Linked DNA regions of Callithrix jacchus. The protein of the gene in region 2 purifies or fractionates together with the protein of the main gene of each other region. This does not show direct contact. Links are inferred from orthologs where the notes say so. Each region holds a gene or a part of one and is shown on either strand. Other genes may lie near its edges.

Region 1 (3,500 bases), on a different chromosome or scaffold from region 2:
ATGTGGTTGAAGGAGCAGAGAGAGGTAGAAAGTCTGGAAGTTGTCAAGAACCAAGTACATACTAGACTTTGAGAATTGAGTGGTAAGGAATGGGGTTGGCATGATGAAAAAGGTGGTAGAGTTATCTGGAGACTGGAGTCTAATTTATCTTTCCTCCCCCCTTCTTTTAGTCCAGCATGAGTGCATCCCTCAGGCCATTCTGGGAATGGATGTCCTGTGCCAGGCCAAGTCGGGCATGGGAAAGACAGCAGTGTTTGTCTTGGCCACACTGCAACAGCTGGAGCCAGTTACTGGGCAGGTACATTTGGGGAGAGTGCTGGGGAAGGGATTTTGGTTAGGATTATAAGGGAAAGGGGTTTTTGTCCTAGCTACATGATGCTTGCAGAGCCATGAGCACATAACCGCTGTTAGCCTTGACAACCTGACAGCTGTGGGGAATGTTCTGTTGCAAGCATAGAGTTCATGATTTAGGTCACAGAATTAAAGTCATTTATCACTGGCCAGGTATATTTTTGTGACAATCACTTCCCTAGAGGAGATAATGAAGGGCTGTACTTACTGTATGTCTCCATCTACTTCCTGCCTAAGGTGTCTGTGCTGGTGATGTGTCACACTCGGGAGTTGGCTTTTCAGATCAGCAAGGAATATGAGCGCTTTTCTAAATATATGCCCAATGTCAAGGTAAGTCAAGGTAAAGAGACCTGAGAGTGAGGATGTGGCAAGTTGGAGGGATGAGAAACTTAATTTTGGAGAAACTATAGTTTGCCTTGGTTTAACAGAGTGTTAAGATCCTGTATAACAGGAGGATTCATTTCATAAGTGGGCTATGGATGATGCTCAAGACCACCCTTTTCTTACTACTTCATACTGAATTGAATCCTATCAGTTTGATCATTTTGAGGTGTGTGGCAGAGAAAGCTAGAAACTTTAAAAACAGCTCCAGTGGTGAGAATTTTGAGGATTCTGGCCAAGCATGGTGGCTCACTCCTGTAATCTCAGTACTTTGGGAGGCCAAGGTGGGTGGACCACTTGAGGTCAGGAGTCCGAGACCAGTCTGGCCAACACGGTGAAATCCTGTGTATGAAAAATGCAAAAATTAGCCTGGCGTGGTGACATGCACCTGTAGTCCCTCCTACTTGGGAGGCTGAGGTGGGAGAATCCCTGGGAACTGGGAGGCAAAGGTTGCAGTGAGCTGAGATTGTGCCACTGCACTCCAGCCTGGGTGACTTGAGACTTGGTCTCAAAAAAAAAAAAATTTTTTTTGTTTTTAAATTTAAGTTAAGCATTTTTGGCAAGAATGCTGCATAGGTGATGCTGTATCTCCTGTTATGCCACAAATCTGGTTGATCTATCTTTTTTTATTTTATTTTTATTTTATTTCGAGGTGGAGTTCTCTGTTTCTCAGGCTGTGAGTGCAGTGGTGCAATCTCAGCTCACTGCAACCTGTGCCTCCCAGGTTAAAGTGATTCTCCTGCCTCAACCTCCCGAGTAGTTGGGACTACATAGTGCCATCACGCCCAGCTAATTTTTGTATTTTTAGTAGCGACAGGGTTTCACCATGTTGGCCAGGTGGATCTCAAACTCCTGACCTCAAGTGAGCCACCTACCTTGGTCTCCCAAAGTGCTGGGATTACAGGCGTGAGCCATCACGCCTGGCCTCGTTAGAGATTTTAGATTTACGGTGGGATTAGTGTCATGACAGTTTGATTCCATGGTTCTTCTTTTCCCCCTTGAAACTAGAAAGTAGTTTCTGGTGTTACTTGATAGCGTACCAAGGCCCAGATCCCTAAATAACTATTCACCTAATGGATTTAACATGGAGTGATAATATTTAACCTCAAGCAATAATTTCATGGGGTTTGTGTGGAGATTCTGGGTTTATTTAGGATAACTTGATGTTTCGTGTGTTTTTTGTGGTACTTTACACTCATCTGGTGATTTCTTGCTGTTGTTTATTTATTACTATATTACTATTTGAGACAAGAGTCTTGCTCTGTTACCCAGGCTGGAGTGCAGTAGCATGATCTGAGCTTACTGTAACCTCTGCCTCTCGGGTTCAAGTGTTTCTTGCTGCCTCAACCTCCCGAGTAGCGCCCGCCACTGCGCCTGGCTAATTTTTGTATTTTTAGTAGACATGGGGTTTCACCATCTTGGTCAGGCTTATCTTGAACTCCTGACCTCGTGATCCACCCACCTCGACCTCCCAGAGTGTTGGGATTGCAGGCATTAGCCACTGCACCCGGCCTATATTTATTTTTTATTTATTCCTTGAGGTGGAGTCTCCCTCTGTTGCCCAGGCTGGAGTGCAGTGGCTTGATCTCCACTCACTGCAACTTCTGCCTCCCAGGTTCAAGCAATTCTCCTGCCTCAATCTCCTGGGTTATTTTTGTATTTTTAGTAGAGATGGGGTTTCACTGTATTGGCCAGGCTGGTCTTGAACTCCTGGCTTGAAGTGATCCACCTGCCTTGGCCTCCCAAAATGCTAGGATTACAGGTGTGAGCCACCGAGCCCAGCCTTATTTTTATTTTTATTTTTTGAGATGGTGTATCCCTCTTGTCACCCATGCTGGAGTACAGATCGTGGCTCACTGCAACCTCTGCCTCCAGGTTCAAGTGATTCTCGTGCCTCAGCCTCCCAAGTAGCTGGGATTACAAGAATGTGCCACCATACCTGGCTCCTTGATTTTTTAAATGAAGCCTGGCCTCATAAATGAAGGAAGATGGTTAGATTAAGTCAGAAGAACTGAATTCTTGTCCTGACTGTTCTGAGTAGTTCTGTAACTTGAGGCAATCACTTTTGTTATAAACCTCAGTGTTTGGTGGGGCGACATAAAATTTTTAAATTAGGTGACCTCTAAAAGTTTATTGTAGTTTTGAAACATGCTAAAAATTGGTTTAGCTCAAACTGAGAGTGGGAACCCTGGGGGGATTGGACTCTTTCCTTCCTTGTTTTTGAGACTCTTTGCTCTTGGCTTGGCAGGTTGCTGTGTTTTTTGGTGGTCTGTCTATCAAGAAGGATGAAGAGGTGCTGAAGAAGAACTGCCCGCATATCGTCGTGGGGACTCCAGGCCGTATCCTAGCCCTGGCTCGAAATAAGAGCCTCAACCTCAAACACATTAAACACTTTATTTTGGATGAATGCGATAAAATGCTTGAACAGCTCGGTGAGTGGCAGTGCTGGGGCTTGGCTAATGCTGGGGAGTTGTTCTTTGGAGCCAAATGATGTTTATTTGAAACAGGAGCACCTCAGTGTAAGGACGACTCTTATCTATCACCCATGACTGATGGCTCTGGGTTCCCTGGTTGGTTTTTATTCTTTTAAGCACAGTAAGGGGGTCATCTATCATCTTTCTATGATTTCTTTTTAACCTTTGAGAATAGGGGACTTTGATAATTTAGGCATAAGTCGTCACCACCACTACCCTTTCCATTAAATATTTCTGTACTGGGAGTCATAGGGGATATTCTAAACTGAAGGAGAAGACTGTCTACCCTTATGG
Region 2 (3,500 bases):
TTCTATTTACTTTTATAGCAGCAGTCTTGCCATGTATGTGTGTGTTACTTGTATAATTCTTCTCTCTTTGTAGATGATTGCTGTGCTAGTGGATAAGATGATTCGTACACAAATAGTTGATTGTGCTGCAGTAGCAAATTGGATCTTCTCTTCAGAACTATCTCGTGACTTTACCAGGTAATATGAATTACTTTATGAAACTTGTGTTCTCTAAGAATTAATATACGTGTGGTCTCTCATACATTAGCTTCAAATTCTGGTTCAAACTAGTTTGATATTAATATACTAATGGTCCAGTCTTGTAGGACTGGACATGGCAAAAATTCCTAGGCAGTAGAAACATACACAGCCTGTTGGGTTGCAGCATCTCTTAGAGGACACAATCGTAAGTTGAATCAAGACTAAGCCAGTGAAGGAGAAATGCTGTTGAAGGATCCAGACTGTTGGGAGAGAAAACTAGCAAGAGCCAACTATGTGCAAAGTCTCAGTCCAGATGGGACTTGGGAAGGGTTCCAGCTTCAGTGGCGATGGCATCTAGAATGCACACCAGGAACTAGGAGAAACCAAAGTGAAAGTAGGTTAAATACAAATCATGGAGGGATCCAGGAAAGCTTGGCGAGTACCAAGATGCCTGAAGGATGGGGAAAAGGGGTTCTCACCACAGTCATAATCTTAGGTTCAATGCAGAAGATTCATTCTGCACTCATTCCCCCTAAGGAAAGAAAGTTTTTGCTATTTGATTCTTATTTGTGAAGTTCCACGGACTTTCCAGTTGATAGGACCAGGACAGCAGGAGTTCACACAAAGCAGGAAAGAAAAGCAAATTAGTTCTGAAAACAAAAATCAATCACAGCCTTTAACTTTTCCACTGTATCTATTACTGCCAGAGGACACTGGTCTGAAATATACTGAATTGCTAGGGTGATTGGGTGTGATCTAAGGTTGTCATACCAGCCATGTTGGCTTTCACAAATGACAACAGAAGGACCTTTTCATATTTGTAAATTCTCACTAAACTAACCACCTAGTATGTTTTAACCATTGTCCTGAGTGATTTACAGTTTCAGTTTATTTTAACCTTACCACATCACCATAGAGGAGGTTCCATTATTGTCCACATTTTACAGAATAGGGAAGTGTCACAGAGTGCTTTAGCCTGCCTGAAGTCACACAGCTAAGTGCAGAGCCAGCATTCAAACCCAGGCATTCTGGAATCTGTATAATGCTCAACAGCTCCATCTGTTCTTTAACACCTAGCTCAAATATTTGTAACCCTACAAACCTTTCCCTGACTACTCTCCACGCCCTCAGAGTTAACACGCTGTGTTCTTTTGTCCTATTTCCTAACATTCTAGACTTGGAGTTTTATGAACAGATTGCTTTATTATTTTCCACTTAAACTATTATTTGGGTCAAAATTTGTAGAAGTAAGTACAGTTGACTCTTGAACAATATCAGGAGTTAGAGACACCAACTTGACCCCCAGCCACCCCACTCCCACACAGTCAAAAATCTGCATGGAACTTTTGACTACACAGAAAATTTAACTAATAGCATACTATTGACCAGAAGCCTTACTGATAACATAGTTGATTAACACATATTTTGTGTTGTGTGTTATATACTATATTCTTACAGTAAAATAAGCTAGAGAAAAGAAAATTACTAAGCAAATCATAAGAGGAAACATTTATTATTCATGAAGTGAGAGTGGATCATCAGAAAGATCTTATTCTTCATTATCTTCACATTGAATAGGCTGAGGGAGAGGAGGAGCTGGTCTTGTTGTTTTAGGTAGAAGAAAACCCATGTGAAAATGGACCTGCACAGTTCAAACCTGTGTTGTTCAAGGGCCAACTGTACTATTCTGTGCTGAGTTAGGAGACCTATTGATAGATACAAAAGTAGCTAAGAAGCTACTTAAAAAATAAAAATAAAAGGAAAACAGAAGAAACGCTTATACAACAAACATTTGAAAGCACCTACAAAGTGATCTTAGTATGTATTTGCTAGTTAGAAAGCTGACATTTGATGATCTCATTCTTAGAGCCCATCAGTTGATATCTGTTATCAACTAATGAGTTTTAAATGTTCCAAGAGAATAATTGGCTGAGTGTATGCTAGTTAAATAGTATAAAGCATGTGAAATGAGTCTCACCTTAGGTCACCATTTTGAGAAAATTTCTATACTTATTGTTTACATTTAGAAGAGGAAAAATTATTTCCATTTTTAATGTTAGTGTTCATTATAGTTTGCCATTTCAATTCAGTGAGTATATACCTCTTGTAAGGGATGGACATAAGAAAAATGACTACACAATACTGCCCTCGGGGGACTCACCTGAATCTAACGTGTGTGACGATAGATACTTGCACAATTTGCAATAAAAGACAATTCATAAGTATTGCTGGAGAAATAGGACTAATTCAGCCCAAAGGACAGAAGGCTGTATCAGCTGTTAAGAATGAATAGATTATAAAAGTTGAAAGGTTTTATTTTCGTAATGATAGCTTGACATACAATCATCAAATGTCATATTTCTTTAAGATTATTTGTTTGGGAAATCTTGCACTCTACAATTCGTAAGATGAACAAACATGTCTTGAAGATCCAGAAAGAGCTAGAAGAAGCTAAAGAGAAACTTGCAAGGCAACACAAACGGGTAAGTTTGTGTCAACTCGTAAATAGTTAAAGAAAATATACCAGAAACTCTGGAGAGGATTCAGAGTTCATTATCTTGATGGTATTTCATTTTTTCTGAGCCCAAATTATGCAGAGCTGTTTGCAGAAGCAGAGGAGGAGGAGGGAGCAGGTAGTGTCTTGTGTGCTTTTACCCTGCATAATGACCAGTTCAGGAAGCCACAAACTACTTTCCTTCATTCGCCATCTCTGGGTCAGCCTTGTGTTTGTACAAGGGAAGTAGCAGAAGGGAAGAGAATGCTTGTATTTTTGTAGAAGTCTCTGGGGGAAGAGGGAGAAGACTATAGATACTTATACTTTCCCCATACTATGAGGAGGAATGGGATGGTCAATCCCAAGTTAACAGAATGCTTCTCATAGTATTAAGTTTAGTATTTTAGCCATCTTGGAGGGAAGCGGTGAGCTGGCTGCGTTCTGTGACTTAAGATGTTACTACTGTTCTTTATGACAGTATTTTCTATTGTTATGCATATTTATCAAAGTAGAAGGTGAAAAAATAAAAGCTGGGTTTGATGCCTCACAGAAACCTTTAGCAAGTTTGAGTACTAGTCTCCACATAGACACACATGTATACATATATGGATATAAACACTCACAGACCTAAAATACTGTAAGTTAAATGATGTCATCCCATTTTGTAGATGTATAAAGTGAGACACAGGGAAGTTGAGTAACATAGCTAGTAGGTTGCATAGCTAATGACTGAGCTAGGTTCTGACCCAGGTCTGTCAGACTCCAGAGACTTTCTCTCATGCCACACTGTTTCAGAAATGTGCTGTCCAACCCAGTAGCCACTAGC
Region 3 (4,101 bases), on a different chromosome or scaffold from region 2:
GCTTCCTTAGAGAAGTCACTGTGGATAAAACATTCACCCTCACACGCCATTACATTCACCGACTCCCCTTCCTCACAACCCCAAATCGAAGACCTCCCTCTTCTGGAGTCGATTGGACGACTGGTCCGAGCACTTTCCTTAGGCTGTCCGTCTACTGGCTCCAGATTCGGTCCATCAGTTTAACCGCCCGACTCCCGCATTCCCCATTGGAGTCAAACCGCTGCCTCCTGGAGAAGCCCAACCTACCGCGCGCTTCGCGCTTACTGGCTCAGTGAGACGCAGCTCAGGAGGGGAAACCCGTCTCCCACATTCCGATGGCCCCAAGGGCCCATCAGTCGGCAGCTCAAGGCAGACCCAATTGGCGTATACGCAAGCCAGTCAAAGTCTTCAGCTGCACCGCTCCAAAGAACCTACAGGGATTAAAACATCCCGCCCCCTGTTCTTCTATTGGTTGGCCCGACCCACCGCTGCCCTTTCACTATCCCCCACCCCGCGGTCCATTCATTTCACACAATAACGGGCCCAAATAGAGTCAGTTCGAGACCTACGATGGGTAGAGAAGACTGTCTGCCACTTACCCGGGATTGAGAGTGATCACTCACGCTAACGTCTGCCCTGTTGCTGTATGGTGAGGCCGCAACGCAAGCCACCACCGCCACCACCTTCTGCGCAACGCCAACCGCCCGCCAAAACGGATCCTTCCCTGCGCCTGCGCAACCAATCCGGGAACGGACCCTTTCTCCGCCCACCACGCATGCGCAAAGCTGGAACCAACTCCCGCCAATACGCAGGCGCCGTAGGGTCACTGCCTAGTACTGCCCGCCATTTCACGTGTTCCCAGAGGCTGCTGGAAGTTCTTAATGCGCCTGCGCAAAACTCGCCATTTTACTACACGTGCGCTCAACAAGCAGTCAAAATTTTGACCTGCTGGCTAACTGCTTTTCTGACACATAGTGTTAATCATGCTTTGCCAAGCGTAATATTTGTGCGGGGAAGATTAAAAAGGCGTTAAACACCCAAGGTATATTCAAATATGAATGATTTATCGGCTGGCCAATCAGACTGGTTAAGAATAATATTACTCGGGAACCAATGAACTCCAAGGGGTGGAGAGGGCGTAGACCGCCCAAAGGAATGACGTTACACAGCAGTGTGGCACCACAGGCCAATAGTAGGGGGAAGAGATTTCACACATCCAATCAGAACTGTTCAAGGGCGGAGTGTACCAATGCTGAAAGGGAGGAGGCGGGGTAAAAAAGAAAGGCCGAAGGTAGGCTGGCAGATACGTTCGTCAGTTTGCTCCTTTCTGCCCGTGGACGCCGCCGAAGCAGCATCGTTAAAGTCTCTCTTCTCCCCGCGATCATGTCTAAGTCAGAGGTGAGTTAGGCGCTCTTTCCAACTTGAATTTCTTCCTCTTCCTTTCCTGAATTGGTAAGATGCGGCTTGGTTTCGTTCCTTTCACCAGCCCATTCTACAGTTTTTTAGGTTGCTGCCACGGCCTACCCCTCCCAAAGTTCAAGTCGCCATTTTGTCCTGTTGATCGCCATGAGGCCGCTCGCGCCAATCATGAGTTATTATGCAGCACTCTATAGTCTTAGCAAAAATTCTTACGCACATAAGGCTTTTCCTTTTCTAAACCTTGCTTTGGTGAGCGAGTTTTTAAAAGAGCGATTAGTCCCATTTTGGCGATGTACCCCTCCCGCCTAAGCCTTTGTTGCGCGTGCGTCGGAAGGCGACTAGGGACGCATGCGCTTTGGATTTCGCAGCACTCCCAACCCCCAACATACCTTCTCCCCTGTTAGAGAGAAGCACATGGCTTGTTGCAATCTGAACGAACAATAAGTGCTACATACACAGTTGTCTAGTTTTGATTTTCCTCGATGGAAATTGTTTGGTGTTACAGCTCATTTAACACTTCCGCCTCCCCCACTGTAGTCTCCTAAAGAGCCGGAACAGCTGAGGAAGCTCTTCATTGGAGGGTTGAGCTTTGAAACAACCGATGAGAGCCTCAGGAGCCATTTTGAGCAATGGGGAACGCTCACAGACTGTGTGGTAAGAATTGGAAGGGACCAAACAGTAAAATAGTGGATTTCCTTGGTTTATCTTGGGGCGGTTCTCTCTGAATACTTAGGAAGGTTGTTAGTAGTATTATAGCTAGAGCCTTGTTGACGAAGGAAAGTCCTGCTTTGTTTGATAGAGTTACCTCTTAAACCTAGGATAGTGGGAAACTGGAGGGGTTTTTGTACAGGGCTGGTATAAAGTTTCCTATTCCCTTGTTCAAAGTTAAAATTACAAAAGTTTTTGGGGTCAGACTTTGTTACATGAATTAACACTGTTCTCAGGTCATGAGAGATCCAAACACCAAGCGCTCCAGGGGCTTTGGGTTCGTCACGTATGCAACTGTGGAGGAGGTGGATGCAGCCATGAATGCAAGGCCACACAAAGTGGATGGAAGAGTTGTGGAACCAAAGAGAGCTGTCTCAAGAGAAGTGAGTGGTTTTTTTACCCTTCAATTCTTTTGGCGATGTGCTGCTAGTGTATTTGGATTCAGGAGTTTTGTACTTAAAAATTTTTTTATTTGGGTGTAGGTTTGGCTAATCTAAACCTGTGGTTTTCCTCCTATTAGGATTCTCAAAGACCAGGTGCCCACTTAACTGTGAAAAAAATATTCGTTGGTGGCATTAAAGAAGACACTGAAGAACATCACCTAAGAGATTATTTTGAACAGTATGGAAAAATTGAAGTGATTGAAATCATGACGGACAGAGGCAGTGGCAAGAAAAGGGGCTTTGCCTTTGTAACCTTTGACGACCATGACTCCGTGGATAAGATTGTCAGTAAGTATCAAATAGTGGTATTTAGTAAGGGTTCCGCAGTCCATGTGGCGTTCTAAACCCTGAGACCATGTTGTACCTGTCTTCATTTTTTTTTTTTTAGTTCAGAAATACCATACTGTGAATGGCCACAACTGTGAAGTTAGGAAAGCCCTGTCAAAGCAAGAGATGGCTAGTGCTTCATCCAGCCAAAGAGGTATGCTTATTGCTTCATTAAACCTTAAAAGCAACTTTCAGTTACTCCAGTATGAATGATTTAACGTTTAAACTTCATCTCTTTAGGTCGAAGTGGTTCTGGAAACTTTGGTGGTGGTCGTGGAGGAGGTTTCGGTGGGAATGACAACTTTGGTCGTGGAGGAAATTTCAGCGGTCGTGGTATGTACGGCTTATTTACCTGTAGTTCTGACTTCTTACCATCTTTGCTATGCAGGTTTTACAGTACAGGAAGTGCATCCAGAATGTCATTTGATATGCAGATCATGCTTAAAACTTAAAACTTTGTTTTCTTCCAGGTGGCTTTGGTGGCAGCCGTGGTGGTGGTGGTTATGGTGGCAGTGGGGATGGCTATAATGGATTTGGCAATGATGGTAAGTTTTTTAGGAATAAGTAGATAAAAATTCCTGGCAACCTGTGTCTTTAGAATAGGTTAGTCAAGACTAAAATTCTAGTGCATGACAAGCTCAACTTTTCCCATAACACGCATGCTGTGAGCAGGCCTTCAGCCATTACACTTGCACAAGTTTTCATTGTCAAATACTTTTGTCTTATTGAGAAGAATTGTATTCTTGTAGGTGGTTATGGAGGAGGCGGCCCTGGTTACTCTGGAGGAAGCAGAGGCTATGGAAGTGGTGGACAGGGTTATGGAAACCAGGGCAGTGGCTATGGCGGGAGTGGCAGCTATGACAGCTATAACAACGGAGGCGGAGGCGGCTTTGGCGGTGGTAGTGGTAGGTATCCAGTGATCCAAGTACTTGGTGTGACAGCTAGAATAGCCTTTTAGAGCTTGGGTTCTTGGTGCTGTTGAAGCATTGTCTGGTACACTGCATGGTATATTAAATGGGCTTGCTATGCTACCTCCTCCTAGCTTTAAGCTGGGGCCGCCTCACTCCCAATTAGTAGAGATAAGTGGATAATGGTGTCTTTGAGTTAGATTAGTGTCATAGAAGGATTTAGTATCTTAAATGCTTTGGGACCTTAGGCGCTTAGTTGATGGATCCAAGAAATTTCTGATTGCCTGTGGCCCTAGATCTCCCATGAAGGCCTTCAA
Region 4 (4,091 bases), on a different chromosome or scaffold from region 2:
CAGAGAGTTGGACGTTGCAGTGAGCTCGAGATGGCGCCACTGTACTCTAGCCTGGGCGACGAGCAAGACTCCTTCTCAAAAAAAAAAAAAAAAACTTAGGTCTGAAAATCATCCCAAATCATTCTGGTACACCTAAGAATTGAGTTGTTGGGGTTTTCTTTATTGGAGGGGGAGTTAGAATAAGTAATGCTTTGGTTAGCCATAGTCCATCGTAAGTGAACATTTGCTAAGGAAAATTTTATTAATTTAATAAACCATTTATCCACGTCTTGGTGGCACAATGAGCCTAGTAAATTTTGGTAGGCTATTTGCTCTTAAGCGTACAACAATCTGTAAAGCTGATTTGGAGGACACTTGGGAACAAATCAGAGAGGCAACCACGTCAAAGGCCACATGCATGTGACTTTCACAGAAAATACTATTTGGTGATTTAGTACGTGAAGGGCATCTAGGGTAAAAGAAATATCTGAGTGTGGCAGATCAAGGGCACCAGGTGGGAAGCAGTTGGCATGAAAGCTCACCCAGCCAAAACATGCACTGTTAAACCACACTTGGAATTGCAGTGTTTTGGTTTTCAGGAAAGGTTGTTGAAGCGGCCAAATTCCAGCCCGGGGAGACAGAGTTGAAATTTTAAGACTTTCCCAAGAAGTATTTCGATATCTTTTCCAAGACCCTGAAAACATCACAAGGCGCCAAAAATGCACACTCTGCGCGTCACCCCAACCTTTCTCTCTCAGCTACCTGGCCCCGAACCCAGGCCTCTAAAATGGATGAGAGGTCTGGGGCCTACCTAGGAAGTGTTCTTTTCGCTACTTTCTCCACCCCGCTTTGAGTTCTAAACAACTGGGTGTCTCCTCCCTTTTCCGAACGCAGCCCCCATCTGAGGGGCGGATCCTGATTCCCGCTGGCTCAGGCCCCGCAGGTTGGCGGGACCCGGTAGGGATAGGCCAGCCGAGTCCGGGGGAAGCAAAGCGAACGCTACCGCGCGCAGCGATCAAACTCGCGCCGCCACACGCTCACGAGCTGCGCCCCACCCTCTCCGTCACCGAAGGCGCCCAGCCAATGAGCCGGCGGGAAAGGCCGGGCCTGCGAACTAGACACTGGGAGGGGGAGGGCTGGAGGGGGAAGGGAAGTCGAGGGCGGGCTGTGTTTGATTGACAGCTCGTTCTAACCAACCCTCCACGCGGATTTTCTTCACTCTCTTTTTCTACTCAGCCAGACTCTTCGTCCCACCTCCTCCTCCTCCACCCCTCTCCTCTTGCTTTTCGACCCGTCCCACTTCCCCTCCCCCATTCTGCGGGCAAATCGCTGCTGAAAAGAGGCGGGGGCCGGAGCGGCGGGCTCGTGTGGAGACTTGAGGTGGGATTGACTGGCTCTCGGACCAACGAGAGATAGGCTCATGGCGTGGCTGTGGCTGGAACTGACCAATAGCAGGGCGGGCTGGGGGCGGAGGCCCAGGTTCCAAACGCTCCGCGGCGCCATGGGCTGAAAACTCAACCGAGATGGAATCTCCCAGTCTGAACCGGTTTCAACCGGTTCCGAGTTTGAGGCACTAGAAGGAGGGGGAGAAGCGGCTGCAGCGGCCGCGGCAGGAGCAGCGGGAGCTACAGCATCAGCAAGAGCAACAGTAGCTACAGCCCCGGCGGCCGTGCCTGTTCCAGTCTTTGCTGCTGCAGTCCGTGCAACCACCCAGAGGGGGAGGGGGAGCCACCAGTCGCTGAGGAGCAAGAGAAGGGGGGAAAGTTTAGGCGAGCCTGTGGGGGGGCCCAGCGCCGGAGCCGCGTGAGAGAGGGAGCCGTGTTTTGGTAGGGGGGGAGTCGGACTGCAGCTGGCAGCAGAGCGTCCCCCCGGCCGTGTGGACTCTACACCCCCTACTCCTGCCACTTCTGTTGCTGCCTGTGGCTGGAGGGTCCCCCTTGGGCTGAATCTTCAGGACTTGACCCCGTTCCCTCCCCCTTCCCTCACTCCTAGCCAGGCGGGAGCGTTTATTCCTCCTAATTCCCCTTGTTTTTGGGGGGGGGGCGGGTGGGTGTGTGTGTTGTGGGGAAGCGTCCCTGAAATAGTAAATATTATTGAGCTTTTTTTTTTTGCCCTTTTCCTCTCCGTTTTTGAAATTTCCTTTTTTAAGGTGGGAAAACTGTGAAACCCACCTTGATTCGTCCCCTTTCCCCCCTCCCCACCTTCCCTCGCCCTAATCCCCCAACAAGGAAGGAAGGAGCAGTTGGTTAAATCTCTGGGTAAGTCGACTGTGTCTTCGGGGCCGAGGGTCGGGCGGCGTCGCGGACGGGCGGGAGGAGGCCGGCGTGGGGCGCGGCGGCTGTAGTCGCCGCGGGAAGCGAGCCCGGGAGGCGGCGGGCGGGCCGGGGGCGCGCCGGGCCCACGATGGAGCCTGCGATTGAATGGAGCCGCTTTTACCGCTGGGGGATGGAGGCGGGGAGGGGAGCGCTTGCTGGGTCATTCGTGTGTGCGGGTGGCGGCGGAGGAGGACGAGGAGCGTGATAGTTAAGCGGGGCGCCTCGCGAAATGGAAGGGCTTCCTCAGCCCCACGGCTTGGGGAGAAGTTGGGGTGATTTCAGGAACATCTCTGTAAATTATTAGGAGTGGAAGTTTCCAGAAATATTTAGTGCAGCAGCATTGAAACGTCCGCCTGCATCACGTGGCCCCCTCGGTGGAGAGCTTGGGATGGGGGAGGGAGGGGCTGCCGACTCCCTGTTCCTCCGGCAAGGAAACTCGAAAGCTCTCCGGGTTTTTGCGGAGTGGCATGTGAAGTAGGAAAGATAAATTTTTCAGGGACCTGCACGTGGGATTCCGTCTTACAGTTTCTTTTCAGGGGTTTGAGTGTGATAAGTTGGTTAAACCATATGCTGCTGGCCTTGTACAGTGTAGGATGCCCTGATTCTCCTTCATTCCGATGTCTGAGTTTAGGGTGGGTGGGAGGAAGTGGTGTAGTAGAGGAAGCATTCGGTACTGGCTCAGCCCGGACCTCCTCTGATCACGCCGAGGCCATGCTGCTCAGAGAAAGGGGCGGTGAACTTAAGGCGCCTGGTCTAAATGCCTCCTCCGAGTATGGGCGGGGTGAGTGCGTGCTCCCCTGTGCTATAGTTAGAAGTGCAGCCGATCGGTTCGGGTGGGAAGCCAGGGGAGGGCGGGCCCTAGTGAGGTGTGTTTCTCCTGAATGAAGCAGGCGATTGCCCACACACCTAAGGAGAAGTCTTTTGCTTTGTTGCGACTTTTTTTTTTTCCTAGTGTGAAGTTGGATTAAGCAACGGTTATAATTTTCTGGTTTTTGGATAAGAACTGGCATTGGGGGTCACTTGTAGAGTTACAGCATCCATAAACTGGTTAATCCCTAGTGTATGCTGTCCAGTGAGTGGATTTTAGGATTGAAAAGCCCAACGAGAAAAGAGCGTTCATGGTTACACCTCTCCCACTATGGTTGTTTGCTTGTATATCTTAAGTGTGGGATGCTGCTGTTAGTGGAAAGAATGTTTCGGAAGCGTTTTGATTTGGGGGACTAAATGTGCTTGGCATTGACCACAAAGCCGCCATTTCTGTACTACGTACAGTTCAAGAATAGGTAGGTTATTTCGAAGACAGCCGCTAGTTCTAAGGATGGCAAATTACTGTATTGAAACCCTTCTATTCCAAATCTCGTTTTTCACACCAAAATCTAATTCGTAGAACTCTGTAAGGACAGTGTATTTGAAAGTGAAACTTTGAAGAGAGTCATTTTCTTAATCTTTTTTTGTTTTGGCATTAAACTGTGGTAGGAGTAAATAGGTGAAAAGTTTGTTCATTTTTTTTTTTAACCGAAGTATTTGGAAATTTTTGATACATAGATCTTGGTGCTTTGTGGACATTGCTTTTAAGCCTCAAATATTAAGATTGTTCTGATCTTTTAAATTTTATGGTACTTGAAGGTGGAGGAGAGTTTACACATTTATTTGTGAAATGTGTATTTCCTCAGTATTTAGATCTCGGGTTTTTGTGTGGTAACAAGTATTCTGTTTAAAAACGTTTAATGCCAACTACAAAACATTTTGAAGTCTCATCAGTTTTGTCAATAATGGACCAGTTCTTGAACTCCTAAT
Region 5 (4,086 bases), about 80 Mb from region 2:
TATTTTCTGTGGAGACGTGGTTTCAACATGTTGGCAAGGCTGGTCTCAAACTCTTGACCTCATGATCTGCCCGCCTCGAACTCCCAAAGTGCTGGGATTACAGGCGTGAGCCACCGCGCCCGGCCAAAGCAGCTCTTTATTAGTGTAATTTATCCAAATTTCCCTCCATCATTCCTTCCACGCCCCCGGTGGGGAGTGGGAGTGCTACACGGGAGAGTCTGCGGCCCAGGGCTTCACTGCTGCCTGAGGGCTAAGATTATGTGTGGTGGTAGAAAAAGAAGAATTGGGGGCATGGAAACGCAGGAACTGCCAGAGTGAAGGTTGCAGAACCTGGCTTGGGAGGATGATGAAGAAACTGGGCGACACTAAAGTGTCGTTGTTGAGCTGGCGTTCAACAAGTATTTATTGAGTATCTACAACGCGCTAGGCATTGTTTTGACACTAGAGATTCAGCAGCAATTCAACGAAAGTACCTGCTCTCATTGAGCTGAATGCCCCGTGCGGGCAGCCAGGTAACGCACATAAACACTTGCACTTATATCTCATAGATACTTACGTACATGTCAGGTAGAAATAAGTGCTATTTATAAAACTGAAGCAGAGCATGGGAACAGTGAATGAAGGTGGCTGCTATTTGAGGAGACCCCCACAAAACAGCGAGACAGTGAAGCACCAGCGGTTGTTCTTTTTCTGATTTTCTAGCTACAGGCAGCGAGATGCGCTCCCAGGAAACCCCGCCCTCTTCCTCCTGATAGGGCACAAAGTGCCAGGATACCTCCTACCTCTTCCCCGCCTAGAGGCGGACTTGGGTCGTTGGGGGGGACTTCGCGCCCAGCAATATGAGCGCGCCGCGCAAACAGCCGCGCGCAGCGATCCCGGCATGCTCCTCGTCCTCCCTAGGCAAGTAGAATTGCTCCGGGCGGATCGTGGCATGCTGGGAACTGTAGTTGACGACCGCCAACCCGCACCTGAGGGGCGGTAAAAGCCGCGAAGTCCCGTTCCATTTCTGGCACAGGACTTGCGGCACCGTGAGGTTGTGGAGAGCTCTTGCAGGGAAGGAGGGCAGGGTCATCCCGAAAACGCCCAAACCGGTCGCCGCCCCCAGTCACGTGTCGCCAGCCTCCGCGGGCGCGCGCCACTCTTAGAACCGTTCCCGCCCCACCCGGCCCGGCTATCGGTCCGCGCCTCCCCCGGCGCTACTGCCACCTCGCGCTCGGAGGCGTCACGGAACGTGCTCTCCTCTTCCCCCCCACCTCCTTTCCCTCCAGCTCTCCCCCTCTTCCCCCGCCCGCGCCGAGACTCGTCGCCGCCGCCGCAGCCTCAGGAGTAGCCGCCGCCGGAGCCGCGCGCAGCCATGGCCGAGAACCCTAGCTTGGAGAACCACCGCATCAAGAGCTTCAAGAACAAGGGCCGCGATGTGGAAGTGAGTGTGCTTCCGCGATCTGGGGCCGCCTGGCCGCTCCGCTGGGCGACGCGAGGAGGGGCGGAGGGCCGGCGCCGGGCTGGTTCTCGCCAGCTTGTGGTCGGCCGGAGTTGGCCGCCGCCTCCCGTCACCGTGGCCCCGGGCTGGGCGGAGCGGGCGGCGGGACGCGGGCGGGGCTGCAGCCACCCTCCAGAGCTGCCGGCCCGGCGACCGGGAAATGCCGGGGTTTTCGGCCCTGTCACGCGGGCGCGGCCTGATGTCGGCGAGGAGGGGATGAGGAGCTGAGGCGGGGTCCGCGGGCGGTGGCCGCGCGGACGAACGGGGATGCTGCCGCCCCGGGCCGACGACCGCACAGTCGAGGGGCGGTTGCTGCTGGCGCCCGCCAGTGCAACCTTCCGCCCGGTGCAGCCCCCTCGGTGCCTCCCGCGCATGGAGCCTCGGCTCTGCCGGTCCCGGCTCCTACCTTCTGGGAGCCGGGCCTTGGCGGGCGGTGGCGGCCCGCAGAGGGGGGTGGGGACCAGCCGGGTAACTGACTTGTTTGAGGGTGATGGATGGGGGAGGGTAGGATGCGCCAGGACTATTTTCTTATATTCCAGTGCTGTTCTTTGGTCTAGTCGTGCCGAGCTGTTCCAGCTCATACTCCTGCAACTGCTGGTATTTGGAGCGAGCTGAAGGTGGACAATAGTTTGCCATCTATTGTGTTCAGGCGTTGGAAAAGAGGTTGTTCCGACCTCCGCTCACAGGACTTATTTTCTTAGCCTTTCTTGGAGTAGGGTGTGCATAGGGTGATAATTTCTTTGACACATTTTACTGAAATAAATTGGATACATAGGTTCATAAGTCCTCTCACATACCTCTTGCTACAAGCTAGTAGAATTTCCAAGTGGTTGCAAAACTAAGCGTTCATCGCGGTCACTCAGTTCGTTGCTACTCAGCATGTTGCCATTGTCTCATTAAGGTGACATTAGCAGGTACTATTTGCAAACTCGGCTTATTGAGGCAGCGCTAGAGGTCTCTCTGCAGCTGCTGAAAGCAATGAGTACATGCACAAACTTCACTGGGCCTGTGACCTTTGGATTTGTTAGGGGGAAAATGGTTTAAGGCTACAGCCTTCTTTTCTAATACTGGGTGACATGATATGCAGTTTTGTAGTTTTTGCTAAGAGGCTAGTGTGATTAAGAGGTGAGTATTTTATCCTGTCCTAAGGAAGGTGGTGGGTTGTATATACCATTCAGCGTTCTATTTTGTAGAGAAACAAACTCAGGCTGTTTTTCAGAGCTACAAAATTAAATACTAGTAGAAAAAACCTGGGGAGATATCCGTGGAATTCCCATTTGAATGAGTCAAATAAAGATCATGTATTCTTTCCTGGTCATGGTTAAATACTCCTTGTGAGAGAGAAATCTAAGCAAAAGTGAAACTTAGGAATAGGAACAAGAAATTTTGGAACTGCCTCCTGTCCTGATGATAAGTGTTAATTTTGAACTTTTCCCATTCTTGAGGTCTACCTCGTTTCAAATAAAAGTTTATTGAAAAATACTCATATTGTTTGTACTTTAAAACCAATAACATTTTTTCTGCTCTTGGATATTGGTACAGGTTTTTGTTTCATTGTTTACCTCTATTACGCTGTTCTGGTAATTCAGTGATACTTAGTAAGGACTCCTGCACATACTAGGTACACAACAAATATTTGCTGATGATAACAAGTAACCAGTAACTTTTAGATGCATGAAAAAGAGCATGGTTGCTAAGCCATTCAGCCTGGTATTGGTCACAACACTACATTTCTTGGGATTCTATAGGGTAACTTAAGACATGAAATAGACATGCGAATGGTAGTTCTATTGTGGCAGATGCTGTGTTAAGAGTTTCAGGATACCTTGTTTAATCTGTGCAACAAGTGTATGAGTTAGGAGTGGCGTTATCCCTACTTTACATGAGGAAAGTATTTTTTGAGACAGAGTCTTCTTCAGTTACTTAGGTTGGAGTACTCAGGCACTCATTAGCTCAGCTGCAAGCTTAAACTTCTAGGCTCAAGGAATCTTCCCACTGTGGCCTCCCAAGTAGCTGGGACTACAGGTGGACAGCACCACACCTGGCTAATTTTTAATTTTTTGTAGAGATGGGGTCTTTGTTGCCCAAGCTTGTCTTGAACTCTTGGGCTCCAGTGATTCCCCCACTTCAGCCTCCCAAAGTGTTGGGACTGCAGATGCTGAGCTATCACACCCAGATGGAACTTTAGATGCAAAACCTCAGTGTGCTTATGTAGCCTGTGCAAGTCACTCAGTGGATATGGGCATTATTTATTCACTAATTGTCTATTCAGTATCTATCAATGTTAGGTCTTTGGGATAAGGGATAAGATGCAGTCTGTACCTCAAGGAGTTTTCATTCAGTGGGGGTGTTAATTACAATGCAGTACAATTGTTACAGTGTAGCATTTCGAAAATACATGAGAGAAAAGTACTTGTAGCTGAGCAAACAGGGAAGATACTCTGGTGGACTTCTAATAGATGGGAGTGAGCTGATTCTGAAGGATGAAAGAAAGGTGGCCAGGCAAAGGGCAGGAGAAGTGCGGTGGAAGAAAAGGGCATTCCAGACTAGAGGGAACAGTAATTGAAAAGTCCTGAGAGAAATGGAGAGAGAGACTAAAGGGTAAA
Region 6 (3,500 bases), on a different chromosome or scaffold from region 2:
CTGTACTCCAGCATGGGTGACAGAGCATGACTCTGTCACAAAAACAAAGGAAAAAAAGGTCCTGACAGAGCAACTCCCAAGACACCACTATCTCCATTCCAAACTCCGCAGCTGAGCAGCTCTGGCTGGGGGAAGGCGAGCAGAGTGGAACCGGCAGCGGGTTTTCTCTCACCGTAGCAGCTTCATCCATCTCTTTTTGCTTCTTCTCAAAAACCTCATCATCATCTTTGTCTTTCTCAAACTCCTTCTGACATCGATTCAACAACAGCTTTCGGAAGTTCACAGTCACTGTTGGCTTTTCTGTAGTGGGCACTTTCAGCTGTAGGTGAGAGAAAATGTCACACTCAGAGCAGTCCAGGGCAGGGAAGGCCCCCCAATAGTCTTTAACTACCTGACCCTGGAAGATCCCTGGCCCCAGCTCTGCCTCCTTCCAGCTGGAGGGGCCCAAGTTGGAGGGAACCAAGAAGCTGGACTCAAGGGAAGAGAAATGAGCAACTAGACCACGAGACTTCGAACCCAGTGGACACTAACCGCCATGAGGCAGCGGCACATGTTGGCATAGGCCACAGAGAAGTTGGGCTCAGAAATGGCCTTCTCAAAAATGAGGTCAATGACCCCTTTGAGGCGTTCCTCGGTGTCGATGGCCAGCTGCGTCACTTGCTTCATCAGCTGCTGGAACATCTGGGGTGTCAGCTTATTTAGGATGGAGCGCACCCTGCGGAATAGGTCCTGGAGGGAGAAGAGACACGAGTCCCAGTGATGGCCTCAGCATAGCCCGTTGGGTCGAACCACAGAGGATAGCAGGGACTTAGGCATGACAGATGCTGGTGATAAAGAGAAGCAAAGAGGACACAGATGGCAGACCTGAAGAAAAACGGAGGGAGATGGAAAGCAGGCCTCGCCAGTACCTGGGTTTTGCTGCCGTCAGCATCCTCTTCCCCTCGATCCTTATCAGCTGCCGTCCGCTTACTGCTGGGTTTCCAGGCTTTCTCTGCTTTGTTTAGTTTTATATCTTCAGTCATTAACACTGTGGCAATGATCTTGCGTGGTTCCTTTCGGGGGCCCTGCTGAGAGCGCCGGGGTCCCAGGCCAGCCTGCTAAGCAAGGAATGAAGGTAAGAGGGACATGGAACTAGTCAGTGCAACATGTGACACCACTACTACACACCTCCAGGGCCAACCTCTCCCCGCCAGCACTGAACACAAGGGAGTCATCCACCCCCACTCCTTGCCCACCTGCCCCTTTACCCAGCCCCACTCACCGGCCCTCGGGGCAGCTCCCCACCTGGCCCACCCCTTGGGGGCCCACGGGTGCTAAGGGCTGGCCGGCCAAGGTTGGCAAAGGATGGAGTGAAGTCTGGACCGCAGTTTATGCCTTGCAGTCTAGCAGGATCCAGTGGCCGCAGTGGTGTTTTATTGGCCTGCGAGAAGACAGGAAAAGGTCTCAGAAGCAGGCTCCTCCCCAGTCCATCCAGCGCAAACTTACCCTCCCCTCCCCGACTCAAGCCACCAACCTTGTCCAGCACCACATCACTGATATGGGGCAGACCCTCTGGCTTCTGCATACTGGCAAAGATGAACTGAAAACCAAGCAGGAACTCACGGTCGTAACGTTTTTTCTCCTCCAGGTTTAGGGGCTTCCACTGATCTGCAAAGAAGACAGAATGAAGCATCATACTGCCTCCCAGTAAGAAAACTCACCATTCTCAAGCCTTTCTTCAGCATACCTGATTTATATTCATACTTCTGTTCGCCAGGCTGGATGTTCTCAGCATTATGAATTTTGTCTTCCTTTGAGTCCCAGGTCTCATCTGCTTCCTCGGGACGTTGGGGCACACTGCTGCCCTCAGACTCCGGGCCTGGATTGCTGCCTGCGGGAGGCTGATTTTCCACCTCTGGTACTGCCGGGTTTGCCTAGAACAGAACATCCAGTTTAGGCTGCAGAATGACCGCTGTTCCACACCTCAACTCAGTGTTCTCCCCTCCCACCTTCTGCTCCCTTACCTCCTTGAAGGCATCCAGAAGGTCTCCCACAGCCTCCTTCTTATTTAGCTCCTTAATTTTCCGTCTCCTCTTTGGCACAGATACTGCCACTAATTTAAAAAAATAAATAAAAGCACAGGTCTATGCCAAGGTTTTAAGGAGCATCCTTAATCCCTGGGAAATAAAAAGCAACCAAAGCACAACACCCGCTTCCATCACCCTCTTTAGGTGTGAAAGTCCTGAATCCAATTCTTAGATTCCACTGCAGGCCTCCTATAACCCAAACGCACAGCAAAAATGGAAGGTCATCAAGGAGGGCGAGGAACCATGTCCCCTAGCCAGCCTACCTCTCCTGACCAACCACACCTTACCTTGGGTGGCTGCTGCTGCCTCCAAATTCTGGGACAAGTTGGCTGGGACAGGGGTACTCTCTTGGGGAAGCAGTTCCTCTCCTCCCTTCTCACTCTCAACTTCTCCTGCTTCTCCTTCCTCCTCCTCTTCTTCTTCCTCCATTTCCTCCTCCGGAGCTGGGGAAGTAGCTGAAGGAGCCATAGCAGGAGTGGCAGAGAGGACAGTGGGTGGAGTCACTGATGCTGTGACTTCCTTGGCCTGCTCCTCTGGCTCACTGACTGGGCTTAAGTCCACAGCTGGTGGCGAGGGGGCTCCGTTGAGCAGTTCCTCAGGTTGGACAGTTGGAGCGATGGGCACAGGGGATTCGGAGGGGCAGGCTGGGGGAGGAGCAAGCTCTGGGCTTAACTCCACCTCTGGTTCCAGATCTTCAGATGGGACCATGCCATTAGGCTCATGACTTTCCACTGTGTGAGATGCCAGAGGGTTGGAAGCCTGGAGAGGACTGGAAGAGAACTCAGATTCTGGAACTGGTTTGCTAAGTGTCACTTCTACTTCCAGTATGGGTTCGGCGAGAGGAGTGGGTTCTGGAGAGAGGCAGTATGGCTCCCCAGTTTCACGGGAGATGGGGGCTGATTCCTCTACAGACATTTGTATCATCCCCGTTGTCACAGTGTCCCCAGGAAGAGAGAGGACTGCGAGATTAGGCTCAGACCCCGGTTCCAAGATTGGGGATGGCGATGGGGTCGGAGAAGGTGATGAAGGCTGGGATTCTGAAGGGCTGTGCTCTGGGCCAGGCAGCCCTGGCCGGTCAGCAATGATTGCTCCCTGTGACCGGTCATCTGCACCACGGGAAAGAAGAATGAGTGACTACAGGCAAGTCCTTCACTGCGGCTGTTCCCAACCTCCCAGCCAAGGCATTCCCAACTTGACACCCCCCCCATCATCTTTTCCCACCTAAGCTATACTTCCATTTTCATCCAAAATCCAATTCACCCTCAAAATTCCACAACCTGAAATCTAAGTCATTCTTCTCTGGTACCCAGTTCAAGACACTCAACCACCCCAGCATTTAAACTGTCAACATTCCTTTTCCACATAAAAGCTCCGTCCCACCCTCTTACTTACCTGGCCGGACAATGACAGCAACCTGGGGCGTCTCCCCATTAG
Region 7 (4,078 bases), on a different chromosome or scaffold from region 2:
CCAGGAGAAATTCCTCTGGAATCTTGAGGGCTGAAATGAAGGGTGGCACCCAGATCTCCAATCAGTGCATCTTCAGTCAACAAACATTCAACAGGACATTATGTGGTAGGCATATTGCCAGGCCGTGGAGATGCAAATATAAATAAGATCCAGCCCTTCATCTGTAGGCGCTCACAACCTAGTTAGGAAACAGCACAAAACCATTAAGTGCACAGTGGAGGTAGGCCCACTTGTCCTGGGAAAGGAGTGGAAGCTGGGGTTTGAAGAGGGACTACGTGTTAGAGGCACAGACTGGGTGCCTGTACACCCAATGGAACGAGAAGGGTGTAAATTAATCACATGCTGGGGTGTCAAAGGCAGTGATTTACAGTTTTGAGACTTTACCTCACCAGCAAAAGGGGCCAGTCTGTTAGTGGTGCAGACTGGAGGGGAGACACTGGAAGCTGCCCATTCAAGAGAAGAAAATGGAACTAGGGAGCAGAAGGCCTACGCAAGAGGGCGGGAAAGACAGAACTCGTGTCAAGTAGCTCTGGACTGAGCAATCCTTCCTGCTTTCTGGTGTGGGAGAGCTAGTGGATGATGGTGCCAATAACCTGGATGGGGAAAGTAAGCTCCCTCCTGGAATGCTCCATTCACAACCTCCATTTTCAGCAATATCCCATCTACTGATTCTTCCTGGTCAGGATACAAGTTTCCTGAAGCGGCCGCTCTGTTTCAGGCCTCGTCCGCCCAACAGCTCACTAGCCAGCCAGCAGTAGTACCAAGATGGCGGCCCCCTGAGGACTGGCTAGTCATGTGACCTCGGGTTTCCCAAGTTTGAAGCCCAGCAGTCCGTTCGGGGGCAAGGTTCGCCTGTCACAAAATGAATGTCAGCCCTTCGAATCTCGCGAGCCAATCGGCATGTAAGACTGGGCCACGGCGGTGAAGCGATCGGAAGATTGGTCCTTTCCAGTCGCCTAGCTAGGGCCAATCACGGAGCGTCCTATACTTCGCGGGCCCGCCCATAGGCCGGGGAGAAGTAGGAATGTCGTCACAGCGTGGCGGTATTGTTACCTAAGGACTCGATAGGAGGTGGGACGCGTGTTGATTGACAGGCAGATTTCCCCTACTGGGATTTGAGAATTTGGCGCAGTACCCCCGCCTTAGAGGTGGGGTCTTATTTGATTGCCAAGTAATATTCCCCAATGGAGTACTAGCTCATGGTGACTGGCAGGCAGCTTGACTAATGAGTCCTCGGCGTGGCCGGCGCAGCTCTCCAATCGCCGGGCGGCGGGCCCCAGTCTGAGCGGCGATGGCGGCGGCGGCGGCGGCGGCAGCAGCAGCGGGGGCTGCGGGCGGTCGGGGCTCCGGGCCGGGGCGGCGGCGCCATCTTGTGCCCGGGGCCGGTGGGGAGGCCGGGGAGGGGGCCCCGGGGGGCGCAGGGGACTACGGGAACGGCCTGGAGTCTGAGGAACTGGAGCCTGAGGAGCTGCTGCTGGAGCCCGAGCCGGAGCCCGAGCCTGAAGAGGAGCCGCCCCGGCCCCGCGCCCCCCCGGGAGCTCCGGGCCCTGGGCCTGGTTCGGGAGCCCCCGGCAGTCAAGAGGAGGAGGAGGAGCCGGGACTGGTCGAGGGTGACCCGGGGGACGGCGCCATTGAGGACCCGGTGAGGGAAGGAGGGCGAGCGATCAGGCCGGCGGCTGACTGGCCGGGTCACGGGAGGCCCAGAGCTCGGGCGAGCGGGAGGCAGGCGGGGGGTGGGGTTGGGCGGGGAATAACGTGGCTGGGGCCCAGTCGGGCCGGGATGGGTCCGCGATCACTACAAGGGGCCCGACTGGCTTGATTCGGGCGTCACGGGAGCCAAGTGTTGTTCTAGAGAGGGTAGCTTGCTTTTCTTTTCATCATGACCCTCGCGTGGGGCGAGGGAAATGGCCGAGCATGGCTGAGGCCGCGCTCCGGCCGAGACCAGGGCAGAGCCCCTGCGTTGGTTCTTCTTAAGCTCTTCTCCATACCCTTTCCACTTGTATTAGGAGCTGGAAGCTATCAAAGCTCGAGTCAGGGAGATGGAGGAAGAAGCTGAGAAGCTAAAGGAACTACAGAACGAGGTAGAGAAGCAGATGAATATGAGTCCACCTCCAGGCAATGGTGAGTAACTGGCGGTTGCACGCAGAGCCCGGGTTCTCGGGTTGGAAGGGTTGTAGGGAGGATGGGGAATGTGGGGTTAGATACTTGGCATCCTGGAGCTGGTTGTCTGAGCTATTATGACTGTGCCGCGGTCATAGTCCGTTGTGTGTTCCTCTGACCTTTGTGAGGCAGAACCTATATTTTGGTGGTGGTAGCCTTGTGCCTGCCTCCCTTTGTCCTTGTTATAATTGTGCTGTTCTTTGTTCTTGGTCTACCTCTATCCTTCTTTTTAGAGGTTGCCAGCTCGCATTTGACCTTCAAATCTAATAGTTTTTCCTCCAATCGGAGACGTTTCAGTTAGGATTCTAAGAGAAAACAAGCTGGAGGGGTTTCCCCTTTAATCTAGAAATGTAGAGTCTCAGCCCACTTAATTTTGTTCACTCTTAAAAGCATTTCAATGTAAACCATTCATTGGGGACTTGATTGGAGGTAGGAGAGATTCCTATACTGTTTTAAGTGTGTATTAATTTATTCTTTAAGTTTGTCGAATATTTAGCGAGTACCTGCTTTGGATTAGGCACAATCCTATTCTAGGTTATGGGTACAGCAGTAAACAGAATAGACCAAAATCTTTGCTTTCACTGAACTTATGGGATATTGTTGGTGGTGGAAATGCATATATTGGTCAAGTAGAAAACAAATGTATATATTTTTTTTTTAATGTTTTTCCTCATAGCTGGCCCAGTGATCATGTCCATTGAGGAGAAGATGGAGGCTGATGCCCGTTCCATCTATGTTGGCAATGTATGTAACTAGGGCTCTCTCTGATTGGGGTTGGGGGGCAAGTTATTTTGGGAAGTTATTTAATAGTCCTGAAAGGAACATCTCTGGGATACGTGGTGGTTTTGGGTGTGAACGGAGTGTGGGAAGGAGGTTGAAGGTAATGGAGTGATCAGTAAACAGCAGAGGCTCTGGGTTTGGAACGAAAAGGGCCTAGTTCCCCAGATTACCAGATTTCGTGTGCCTTGGTGTATGTAGATGGTGCAGATCAAAGGCTAGGCAGGGTGCCTGTTGAGACAGGAATTTGTCTGGTGCCTGTGAAATGTCTCTCCTCTCCTCAGGTGGACTATGGTGCAACAGCAGAAGAGCTGGAAGCTCACTTTCATGGCTGTGGTTCAGTCAACCGTGTTACCATACTCTGTGACAAATTTAGTGGCCATCCCAAAGGGTAAGTAGAGGAAAGTAAGTTGAGGTAATTTAAATTATGGTGTAAAAATAGATATATGAATATGTTTTATATTGAGCAGTAAGTGATTTGCTGTTAACACAGGTAATCTTTGTTATTGAAGATAATGGCATTAATGTTGATATGTATCAGGAGTTGCACCTAAATGTCTTCTGAGGCCAGACAGATAACAGAAATGAAGGCTAGATGTGGGTGGGATCACGAACTCTATAGAAGGGGAGTAGGAGGGGCAGCTTCTACTTGGCCTCTTATGGCCATATGGAAATTCAGACCCTGTGTGTCCTATTCTTAAAAATTTCAAAGAATAGCTGGAAATTTTAAAATTTAAATGATTTTGAATGATTTAAATTTTCCATTTAAAAGAATTTTGACAAAAAAATGTAACCACATTGTACCCCAAAATAAAGCATGCCTGTAAGTTGAATTTGACCTGTGAGGTATTTGTAACCTCAGAGAGATGCAATGACAATTCTTTTCAGGTTTGCATATATAGAGTTCTCAGACAAAGAGTCAGTGAGGACTTCCTTGGCCTTAGATGAGTCCCTATTTAGAGGAAGGCAGATCAAGGTAAGCCTCTGTCCATTGCTGTTCTGGTTCTGTATAAACTCTCCAGATTGACTTTAAGGCTTTCATTTATTCATCTCTGACTCAGGTGATCCCAAAACGAACCAACAGACCAGGCATCAGCACAACAGACCGGGGTTTTCCACGAGCCCGCTACCGCGCACGGAC

The links.
Region 1: the proteins of NCBP1 (region 2) and DDX39B purify together in Homo sapiens (affinity purification with mass spectrometry; 6 studies listed by BioGRID and IntAct, with this or other methods). This does not show direct contact. The link is inferred for Callithrix jacchus from reciprocal best matches to the Homo sapiens genes NCBP1 and DDX39B.
Region 3: the proteins of NCBP1 (region 2) and HNRNPA1 purify together in Homo sapiens (affinity purification with western blotting; 4 studies listed by BioGRID and IntAct, with this or other methods). This does not show direct contact. The link is inferred for Callithrix jacchus from reciprocal best matches to the Homo sapiens genes NCBP1 and HNRNPA1.
Region 4: the proteins of NCBP1 (region 2) and XPO1 purify together in Homo sapiens (affinity purification with western blotting; 3 studies listed by BioGRID and IntAct, with this or other methods). This does not show direct contact. The link is inferred for Callithrix jacchus from reciprocal best matches to the Homo sapiens genes NCBP1 and XPO1.
Region 5: the proteins of NCBP1 (region 2) and KPNA3 purify together in Homo sapiens (co-immunoprecipitation; 3 studies listed by BioGRID and IntAct, with this or other methods). This does not show direct contact. The link is inferred for Callithrix jacchus from reciprocal best matches to the Homo sapiens genes NCBP1 and KPNA3.
Region 6: the proteins of NCBP1 (region 2) and EIF4G1 purify together in Homo sapiens (affinity purification with western blotting; 3 studies listed by BioGRID and IntAct, with this or other methods). This does not show direct contact. The link is inferred for Callithrix jacchus from reciprocal best matches to the Homo sapiens genes NCBP1 and EIF4G1.
Region 7: the proteins of NCBP1 (region 2) and PABPN1 purify together in Homo sapiens (co-immunoprecipitation; 3 studies listed by BioGRID and IntAct, with this or other methods). This does not show direct contact. The link is inferred for Callithrix jacchus from reciprocal best matches to the Homo sapiens genes NCBP1 and PABPN1.

The regions. Positions count from the first base shown.
Region 1 is NC_133505.1:39,022,683-39,026,182, reverse strand, and holds part of DDX39B (spliceosome RNA helicase DDX39B), read left to right. Parts: intron 1-170; coding exon 171-298; intron 299-588; coding exon 589-681; intron 682-2,980; coding exon 2,981-3,164; intron 3,165-3,214; exon of another isoform or gene 3,215-3,290; intron 3,291-3,500. UniProt on the Homo sapiens protein: Involved in nuclear export of spliced and unspliced mRNA. Component of the TREX complex which is thought to couple mRNA transcription, processing and nuclear export, and specifically associates with spliced mRNA and not with unspliced pre-mRNA.
Region 2 is NC_133502.1:145,793,220-145,796,719, forward strand, and holds part of NCBP1 (nuclear cap-binding protein subunit 1), read left to right. Parts: intron 1-73; coding exon 74-177; intron 178-2,548; coding exon 2,549-2,663; intron 2,664-3,500. UniProt on the Homo sapiens protein: Component of the cap-binding complex (CBC), which binds cotranscriptionally to the 5'-cap of pre-mRNAs and is involved in various processes such as pre-mRNA splicing, translation regulation, nonsense-mediated mRNA decay, RNA-mediated gene silencing (RNAi) by microRNAs (miRNAs) and mRNA export.
Region 3 is NC_133510.1:65,268,001-65,272,101, reverse strand, and holds the start of HNRNPA1 (heterogeneous nuclear ribonucleoprotein A1), read left to right. Parts: upstream 1-1,301; 5' UTR 1,302-1,362; coding exon 1,363-1,377; intron 1,378-1,935; coding exon 1,936-2,052; intron 2,053-2,342; coding exon 2,343-2,489; intron 2,490-2,626; coding exon 2,627-2,837; intron 2,838-2,937; coding exon 2,938-3,030; intron 3,031-3,116; coding exon 3,117-3,209; intron 3,210-3,346; coding exon 3,347-3,421; intron 3,422-3,625; coding exon 3,626-3,781; intron 3,782-4,101. UniProt on the Homo sapiens protein: Involved in the packaging of pre-mRNA into hnRNP particles, transport of poly(A) mRNA from the nucleus to the cytoplasm and modulation of splice site selection.
Region 4 is NC_133515.1:52,585,026-52,589,116, forward strand, and holds the start of XPO1 (exportin-1), read left to right. Parts: upstream 1-1,291; 5' UTR 1,292-1,359; intron 1,360-1,554; exon of another isoform or gene 1,555-2,237; intron 2,238-4,091. UniProt on the Homo sapiens protein: Mediates the nuclear export of cellular proteins (cargos) bearing a leucine-rich nuclear export signal (NES) and of RNAs.
Region 5 is NC_133502.1:66,189,156-66,193,241, forward strand, and holds the start of KPNA3 (importin subunit alpha-4), read left to right. Parts: upstream 1-1,286; 5' UTR 1,287-1,354; coding exon 1,355-1,423; intron 1,424-4,086. UniProt on the Homo sapiens protein: Functions in nuclear protein import as an adapter protein for nuclear receptor KPNB1. Binds specifically and directly to substrates containing either a simple or bipartite NLS motif.
Region 6 is NC_133516.1:13,299,283-13,302,782, reverse strand, and holds part of EIF4G1 (eukaryotic translation initiation factor 4 gamma 1), read right to left. Parts: coding exon 3,459-3,500; intron 3,173-3,458; coding exon 2,354-3,172; intron 2,093-2,353; coding exon 2,004-2,092; intron 1,914-2,003; coding exon 1,727-1,913; intron 1,648-1,726; coding exon 1,514-1,647; intron 1,421-1,513; coding exon 1,262-1,420; intron 1,098-1,261; coding exon 909-1,097; intron 730-908; coding exon 532-729; intron 320-531; coding exon 173-319; intron 1-172.
Region 7 is NC_133509.1:57,663,513-57,667,590, forward strand, and holds the start of PABPN1 (polyadenylate-binding protein 2), read left to right. Parts: upstream 1-1,278; 5' UTR 1,279-1,291; coding exon 1,292-1,642; intron 1,643-2,006; coding exon 2,007-2,121; intron 2,122-2,836; coding exon 2,837-2,904; intron 2,905-3,221; coding exon 3,222-3,328; intron 3,329-3,825; coding exon 3,826-3,913; intron 3,914-3,998; coding exon 3,999-4,078. Other genes in the region: BCL2L2 (bcl-2-like protein 2), read left to right, coding at 719-799.